Linked DNA regions of Mus musculus: region 2 is reported to be linked to region 1. The links are microRNA targets in miRTarBase. Many come from high-throughput screens and were not tested one by one. Region 1 holds a microRNA gene; the other region holds the end of a gene's coding sequence.
What was found. The annotated mature microRNA mmu-miR-3102-5p reads GUGAGUGGCCAGGGUGGGGCUG and lies in region 1 at 2,337-2,358, shown strand. An mRNA with a match to its seed (bases 2 to 7 or 8) in the 3' UTR can be bound and repressed. Matches are read on the target gene's strand: a 7mer-m8 pairs with bases 2 to 8, a 7mer-A1 pairs with bases 2 to 7 and ends in A, and an 8mer does both.

Region 1 (4,227 bases):
CTTCACTCTCTGTCTGGACCTGGCTGCTGTCTGTGGGCTGACAGGGAGCTCCACAAGGCAGGCCCTCCCTCATCGGCTCAGGTTCAGCCCTGCCATGTCCAGAGACAGGAACATTTGGCACCTTAGAGAATCAGGGACTCCAAGATCTGTATCTTAGCCTGTCCTTGGTGCAGCTGAAACTGGAACCCAGTTGTCCTCTCTTGTGGAAAAGCCCTCTCCTCCGCCCCCCACCAGCACCTACCATCAGCCAACCAGCAGGATTAGCCACCACTGTGAACCCTGTCCTGAGCCAGGCTTCATTCTGCCAGGAGAGAGCCCCTAAGTCAGGCAGCAGGCACATTCCATAAAAGCAGACTGCAGCTCAGTGCCAAGGGTGGGTCTATTGTGCTGGGAGGGATGTTCCTCATGGAGGAACGAACTGCACAGGCAGAGTCCCAGAAGCTACAATAATGTGTTCACTCCTACTACCAGGAAGGTCTGAGGCCTGCCTTGCTGGTTTAATGGGATTGGAGACCTGGTGATAGATTGTCTGGAAGTGAAAACAAATAACAACAAACAAATAAACAACAACAACAGCCGCAGCAACATTAAAAGAAAAACAAAAAACAACCCAGGTCTTGTCTCAGCACACATCTAGGCACATGTATTTGTATGTATGTATACATATATGTGTATATATATATACATATATATACATACACACCTGCTCATTCAGTCACGTTCATGCATGCAACATGTATGAATTTTGAGAAAGACAGAGAAGACCTGCCTGACCATTTCAAGTTAAATAGACAGAAGCCAGGACAGGGTGAAGTGGGTGAGGGACACCTGAGCCTGCCTAACCTGCTTCCTCACCCACAGTTTTCCAAAGACGTCTTGGTGAACATCTATTCGGCCTATATTGATAACTTCCTCAATGCAAAGGATGCTGTGCGTGTAGCTAAGGAGGCCAGGCCAGCCTTTCTCAAGTTCTTGGAGGTATGTGGACTGGGGTAGGGGTGAAGCTAACATGTCAGGCTAGCTCTGGGCATCCCAGGAGCTCTTGACCAAAAACATTGTGGTGCTTGCAAGTGTGTCAGCCTCTGCCTTTGGGCTCACCTGGAGGGACTTGGCTAGGAGCGTGTCTCTTCCTGCCGTGTCAGTCCTCATGTGAGAACTCCCTCCACTCTGCCTTCGGTTTCAGCAAAGCATGCGTGAGAACAAGGAAAAGCAGGCGCTGTCCGACCTCATGATCAAGCCTGTGCAGAGAATCCCACGCTATGAGCTTCTGGTGAAGGTAACCACGGGCCTGGCTGGACAGGGAGGCCCTGGGGGTCGGGGGGAGGAGTATGTCTGTTCTCAGACTCCAGGCAGGAAAGAAAGTCCTCCTTGATGCCTATACCATGGTCTCTCATGCTCCAGCAGTCAGTTCAATACCTCAGGGCAGCTAAACAGGTCTCCATTCCCGCCCCAGGACCTTCTGAAGCACACACCGGAAGACCATCCAGACCACCCACTGCTGCTCGATGCTCAGCGCAACATCAAGCAGGTGGCTGAGCGCATCAACAAGGGTGTGCGGAGCGCTGAGGAGGCCGAGCGGCATGCCCGCGTGCTTCAGGAGATCGAAGCCCACATCGAGGGCATGGAGGATGTACGTGCCCCACCCTGCCGTGCCCCAACTTGTCCCTGTCTGTGTCTTCATCTGTCACCCGGATTGTGGCCATCCACGTCCAGGTCTGTGGTCAGCTTGCTTCTGTGACCACAGTGCCCCACCCTTCTGTGTCCTCCTCCTCCTCCTCCTCTGTCTGACCTTGTGTCCCTGTCTGGCAGCCCAGTGATGCAAGCGAGGACAGGATGTCGCTCTGGCTGACCTCGTTCATAGAGTGGTCAACCGATCACTGCAGGGTTAATAGACTAATAACTAGTTCTCTCCTACCCACCAGCTCCAGGCCCCCCTGCGGCGGTTCCTGAGGCAGGAGATGGTTATTGAAGTGGTAAGGGTTCTCCCATTGGCTGTTCCCCCAAGTACCTTCAACCCACCCAAGTTCACTCTCTGGCGCCTGCTGCCCTCTGGTTCCTGCTCCCCAAGCACCACACAATGGGAGCCCTGCATGAATCCCGATTCCACATAAGTGGGGGAGAGCCCTCACCCCTCCCTTGGATTTGCTGTTCCTGGGGAACTAGGGTAATGTAGGTCGGCCTCTAGACTGTGCACACTGAGCCTGAATGCCACTTTGGACCCTACAGAAGGCAATTGGAGGCAAGAAGGACCGATCCCTCTTCCTGTTCACAGACCTCATTGTCTGTACCACCCTGAAACGAAAGTCGGGCTCGCTGAGGCGCAGCTCCATGAGCCTGTGAGTGGCCAGGGTGGGGCTGGGTGGTGCAGGCAGGAGAGCCATTGATCTATTGTGGGCTCTACTCCCTGCCCCAGCCAGAGCACCCCATTGGCTACCCACAGGTACACAGCAGCCAGCGTCATTGATACAGCCAGCAAATACAAGATGCTGTGGAAGCTGCCACTGGAAGACACAGACATCATCAAGGGTGAGGCTGGCTGAGTCTGTCAGGGGTTCTGCTGGTGGCTTTCCCCTGAGTCTGCCTGCCTGTCTGTTGGTTTGTCTGCTCTTGTGACTCATCTTTCATCCCATATGAGAGATTGGTTTTGAAGAACCGGGTTAGTTTCCATGCAAATCATCCTCTTAGTGCCCTAGCAAGTTCTCCAAGAGTTGGCCGTTCTGTGCCCTGTGACTCTAAACCAGACCTCTCCTCCCGGGCCTGTTTTTTTTTTCTGAGAGCTACCTGTTGACCTTGTTTCTGAGAGCTTGGGTCTGGAAGTGCTCCCATTTGCCAGACCAATCCCGTGCTCAGCTGAAGGCTGTGCGCTAAGGGAAGTGTGTCTGTCCAAGCTTGACCTTGTTTGATGTGTTCATGGCTTTCCTCTGTCCTCGCCAGGGGCGTCTCAAGCCACCAATCGGGAGACCATCCAAAAAGCCATCAGCCGCCTGGATGAGGACCTGGCCACCCTGGGCCAAATGAGCAAGCTCTCCGAGAGCCTCGGCTTCCCCCACCAGGTCTGTGCCCTGAGCTAAGGCAGTGTTGGCTGGGACTTCCCCTGACCTTGCCTGAGGGACAGACAGTCTTGGCTTTTGCCTGAGGGAGCAGTTGGTCCTGTCACTTATCTGAAGGGGAAAATTATAGTCTTGCTCCCACTTAAGGGAAGTGACAGGTCCGGGGTCTGAGGGAGGAGACCTCTGAGGGGGAGAAAGGCCCATCCCTGTCTGTGGCAGGAGGAGGCTGCCTTCCACGGTCCCCTCGGTGCAGGTGCCCATGTGGTGACACCTTGGCCTGAGGCCTGGGTTCTTTTCCCACAGAGTCTAGACGATGCACTGAGGGATCTCTCGGCCGCCATGCACCGGGACCTGTCAGAAAAGCAGGCGCTATGCTGCTCCCTGGCCTTCCCGCCCACCAAGCTGGAGCTGTGCGCCACCCGGCCCGAGGGCACCGACTCCTACATCTTTGAGTTTCCCCACCCGGATGCCCGCCTGGGCTTTGAGCAGGCCTTTGATGAGGCCAAGAGGAAGCTGGGTGAGCCAGAGTTCATGTTGGTGTCTTCTCTCACAGTCCCTGTGCAGTCCTGACTGTAGAAGCCAGGACTCTCTGAACTGCCCTCCTGTCCTCCAGCGGCCGATAGGGAAGGTGGCCTGAGACTTCCACAGTGAAGCAGCAGGCTGGACATTTGCTCTGGCTCCCAGCTTCTTCCTGGGGGGGAAGGAACTCCTGGACAGAGTCGTTTGGGGACAGGGACCCCAGCATACGCCTGAACCACCAAGACCTTCCTCTTCCTCAGTATAGACTCAGCTAAGTCCTGGAAAGTTATTATTAAGTCTACAGCTTAGAGATCCAGGGCTACTCATTGTACAGAAAGGAAAACTGAGGCCAGACACAAACGGAGTAATCCATGACCTCTCATTCTAGCTGAGCTGGTACCCGGCCCTCCCTAGGGAGACTGGAATGGGGAGGGACCAGAGCCACTGTAAGGTGGGTGCTAAGCAGGGGTTCTCTCCTTTTGCCCTGTCTCCTCTACTACAGCATCCAGTAAAAGCTGTCTAGACCCTGAGTTCCTGAAGGCCATCCCTATCATGAAGACTCGCAGTGGCATGCAGGTGTGTGTGTGCGTGTGGGCCATGTAGACACGTGTCTACTCAAAGCTACATACATGTGTATGAGGTTTTGTGCTGTGTACCA
Region 2 (4,000 bases), not on the chromosome of region 1:
CATGCTGGAACTTAGCTGCCCATTCCTGTAGCTGAGATGGCTGTTTTGAGGCTTCCACTCTATGTTAACACATATCAGTGCTGAGCAGTACAGTGGCTGAGGTTAGTGACTGGGAATCCCCCACTGTCTAATCCCTAGCATTGAAATCAGTGCCTTTTGGGCCACTTGTCTCCAAGTGTTTGAGGGTTGGTTCTATATTTCCTTTGAACGTGTAAAGAAATAGAGATGAGCCCACGAAATGATGCTTTTTCTTCTTTTTCTTTCTCCTGTTTTGTATAATTTAGGAAGTTCATCAAGAACGGATCGCATTGGAAAACCAATTGGAACAACTTCGCCCAGTCACAGTGTTGTGACATCCTAGAGGCTTGAGTGACAGCAGGTGACCTTGTCTGCCAAGATCTTCCTTTTGAGTGTTTAAGCCCAACTACTTGTCATATATGTCTGAATGTCAAAAGCTGTCAGCAGCACAACACAATCTATATGACTTTCTCTTTTGCACTTCACTTGTGTATTTTACAGTGGTAGTAAAATATGTCTTCAACTGATCATTGCACTTAAAATATTAATACTTCGGAGGATAAAGCAGAAGGGTCATAAGCTCAAGGCCATTTTTAGAAGCTTGTTGGGACACTGTCTCCAATAGAAAGTGAAAAGAGAAGTGTGTGTATAGCTCAGTGGTAGAGTGCTTGCCTGATATACAGGAAGCCTCAGTTTAATCCTAAATCCCATTTCAAAAATATACTTATCATTGGAATTTATCTCCCATTTTAACCACTTTTAGATACTGCTCCTTATTTAAGTTACCCTTTTAGCAGATAATTCGGAGCATTATTTATTTAAAGAATTTATAATTCTACAGTACCTATTAATGCTGTACTTCCAGGATGCTCATGCCCATTTTATTCTTATATGTATGCTACATACAGTATGTTGGTTTCCCGAATAGTGTGCATTCCAGCTGGATAGTCTTAGGCATGATGATAATAAAATCAAAAGCTGGAATACAATTAAAGCATCAGATTTACACTGGCACTGTGCCCTCTACCACTATATGCCAAAAACTGCTTCTGTAGTACCATTTTGATATTATGTCAGTTATACATAATATCTGACTATTGTTTTCTATTAAATATCAGAACCTTACTGGGTCTTTACACCTCTGTGAAGTAGAGAATTTTGGCAATGAACTGTTTAACTTGGCCAATCTAGGCCATCAACCTAGATAACTTAGTCCTTTTCATGTAAATTTTTGTGCAAGCACAATCTACTTTAACTGCCTTGCCTGACCAAATTAAATAAATAGTTGCCAGATCTCTGCTTTTATCCTGCATGGGATAACATCTTTGTAAATGTATAAGCTTGGAAACCACCCAACAAATATTAGTAGCTGGATAGCTACCTATTTGTTGTTGAATCCGGGTATCCAGGCTGAGAAGGGAAGAAAAATAGCCACTAACTCTGCAACAATCCTTGGCTGTTGTCATTGTTGTCTTTATTTTAGGCTGGATTTCAGATGTGTTGCTTCTGAAGACACAATGAAAGAATGCAATCTTCCCACCAGCTACATGACTACTTGTTCTCTGTGAAGTGTACTCTTGGGAAGTATTAACTTTATATACAGTTCAGGGGATCTCAGCTAACTCTAGTGGAAGTGATACAAAGCAAGCTTAAATTACAGAAGCAACTATCCTGTCGAAATGTCGTAATACAGTCCAGCTGAAAGTAGGAAATGACTGACCTGTAGGGTTATAGGGTCCCTGAATCACTGATCTTCAACAGGGCATTTTAATATTAGCATTAGTGTGCACAGGGTACTTTTGAAATGGTTTTGGATAGATTTACAATATGTAAGATTAAGCTGTTGATTTCAATAGAGCTGAGAGCTTTTAGTAAAAATAGGCATTTATTTAATATTTCCCTGTTCCTTTGGCAAGCTTTATCAGTAGCTTAACAACAGAAGAGAAGAGTTCAAACAGATGATGTTTTTTCCAAAGAAAAACAAATTGTTGACTCTCTTCCATGCATATTTTAAGGATTTGAATCTGATTTGATTTGGAAAGTCATGAAACTTGAACAGTTTCTGCATTTCTTTTTTCCTTTGGCTGCCTTTTGTTTGTTTGTTTGTTTGTTGTTCTTGTGGGGAGGGCTCAGGAATGATTTAACCCCCCCTAAGATTATGGTTGGGTCAGTACAGATTCCAGGTGACTTCCTTTTTCCATGTGCCGGGATGGGAGGGCTGTGTTATGATTACAGCATGTTTGGCATTTTGTACATTCAATAGAGGAAAGACTAACATATGCACTTTATCTCAAGATCTTCCAGTGCATATACACTCACGTGGGAGAGCACTTCATATCCACCAAGCAGACATAACCTAAGGAATGTTAGTCCACTGAGCAGTTAAAAAACACTGACATATTGCTTCCCTCATGAAGTAAACGATACAGGGAACTGGTTGAAGAGATTGGAATTTTATTTAGTTGGCTTTGTTTTCCTTAAAGGATAAAACTTGCATTGGACAATCAAGGACAATGAAGCCTCACCAATATATTTCTTGTGGTGCTGGGATCAAACCCAGGACAGCATTCATCCTAGGCAAATGCTGGACCATACCCTCAGCCCATCACCAATATTTTAACTGAGGCATTGCATTAAACCACACACCACACACACACACACACACACACACACACACACACACACACACACACACACACAGTATTTTTAGCTGGACTTTTGATCAGTTGAGTAGTTGCTTATACATAGATTCTTAAAAGAAAATACTTGTGTTTCTATTAAATATACACTACTAAATACATGTTATGTGACTAGTATTTATCCTTTACTTCTGTGTTTTCTTAGGATGTACACTTTTAGAGTTATAGTGCCTGATAATATTTTTTGAGAGCCTTTAATATGATATAGGAAGGCAGATACATTGATATCACTTGTAGAACTACTTTGGAATTTATCTCCATTTTCCACAAAAAGAAGCTTCTTTGATGAAGGAGGAGAGATGAAGAGTTGCTTGTTTTGCAGAATTCTATAGCATGAAGGTTAACCTTGTCTCCATTCATGGGGGTTTAATTGCCCTATTGCTCAATGGTGTTCTTGCATGGGGATTCTCCAGTCCTACAGATGAAAGCAAAGTAGGAAATGATCATGGGCTTATTGGGGCTTTTAGCATCTCTAGTAAGTAGCATACAGCTTTGGCTGGCTTTCTATCCACAAACCTAAAGCAGAGCTTGAATGATAAATAGCAAGAATGGATGTGTAATGTGACAATCAAGGCAGATATTTGTTCTAGTTGGAAAGACGAAGCACTTTATAAGCATCAGACAAGTGTTTGGGACTAATTGAGAAACAAGCCAGCTTAGATGGAAGCTGTGCTGTGTGACTATTAGAACTAGGCAGGACCAGTGCTCCTCTTTTATAGCTAGCATGGGAAAATCCCATCCCTAATAATTGTGGACTCTTGGCCCAGGAATCCACAATAATAGCTAGTGGTAGAATTGGGATGTAGCCTGATTATATAGATTCCAAGGTAGTCCTCTGTCTATCCTAAAAGTAGATTAGAAAGCCTTTTTTATTTATCATGTTGAATTTTATTGACTTAATTGGTCTGTAGATATGAAAGCATCTTCTAAGGAGTTTTAGATTTAGATATTTCTCTCCGCTTTAAAAAAAAATAAAATTTGAGTGGAAATAATGTTATTAAACCATTCTTCTAATGCTTCACTTTTGATGATGCAGTATGTTCCTTTAAATCTTGGCAGAACTTTCTAAAGCTACTGCTTTCAATAGATTCCAGCCGCATATTCCCATGGGCATATTCCCATGCTTTCTCAAATAGACTACTGTGATAAAAATGAACTCAATATGTAGTAGCTTATACTTTTCTCCAGTATATTGTTGGTCACTCACAAATGATTCATTTGAACACATTTTAGGGATAAGTAATCAAAACCATGAACTTTTATTTGACTTCCCACCAATGTCT

Region 2: miRTarBase lists Reps2 as a target of mmu-miR-3102-5p. The part of its 3' UTR that is shown has no 7-base or 8-base seed match.

Annotation. Positions count from the first base shown.
Region 1 is chr7:100,880,519-100,884,745 of GRCm38, reverse strand. It overlaps Mir3102 (microRNA 3102), which reads left to right and starts at 2,337; the gene lies at 2,337-2,440. Arhgef17 (Rho guanine nucleotide exchange factor (GEF) 17) reads left to right here. Exons shown (of 21, transcript NM_001081116.1): 4 at 862-978; 5 at 1,184-1,276; 6 at 1,454-1,630; 7 at 1,923-1,973; 8 at 2,227-2,336; 9 at 2,441-2,526; 10 at 2,935-3,053; 11 at 3,354-3,567; 12 at 4,072-4,145.
Region 2 is chrX:162,413,896-162,417,895 of GRCm38, reverse strand. Reps2 (RALBP1 associated Eps domain containing protein 2) reads left to right here. Exons shown (of 18, transcript NM_178256.4): 18 at 285-4,000. The coding sequence ends at 353. Among named protein-coding and RNA genes, the nearest start is that of Reps2, 230 kb to the left of the region's middle.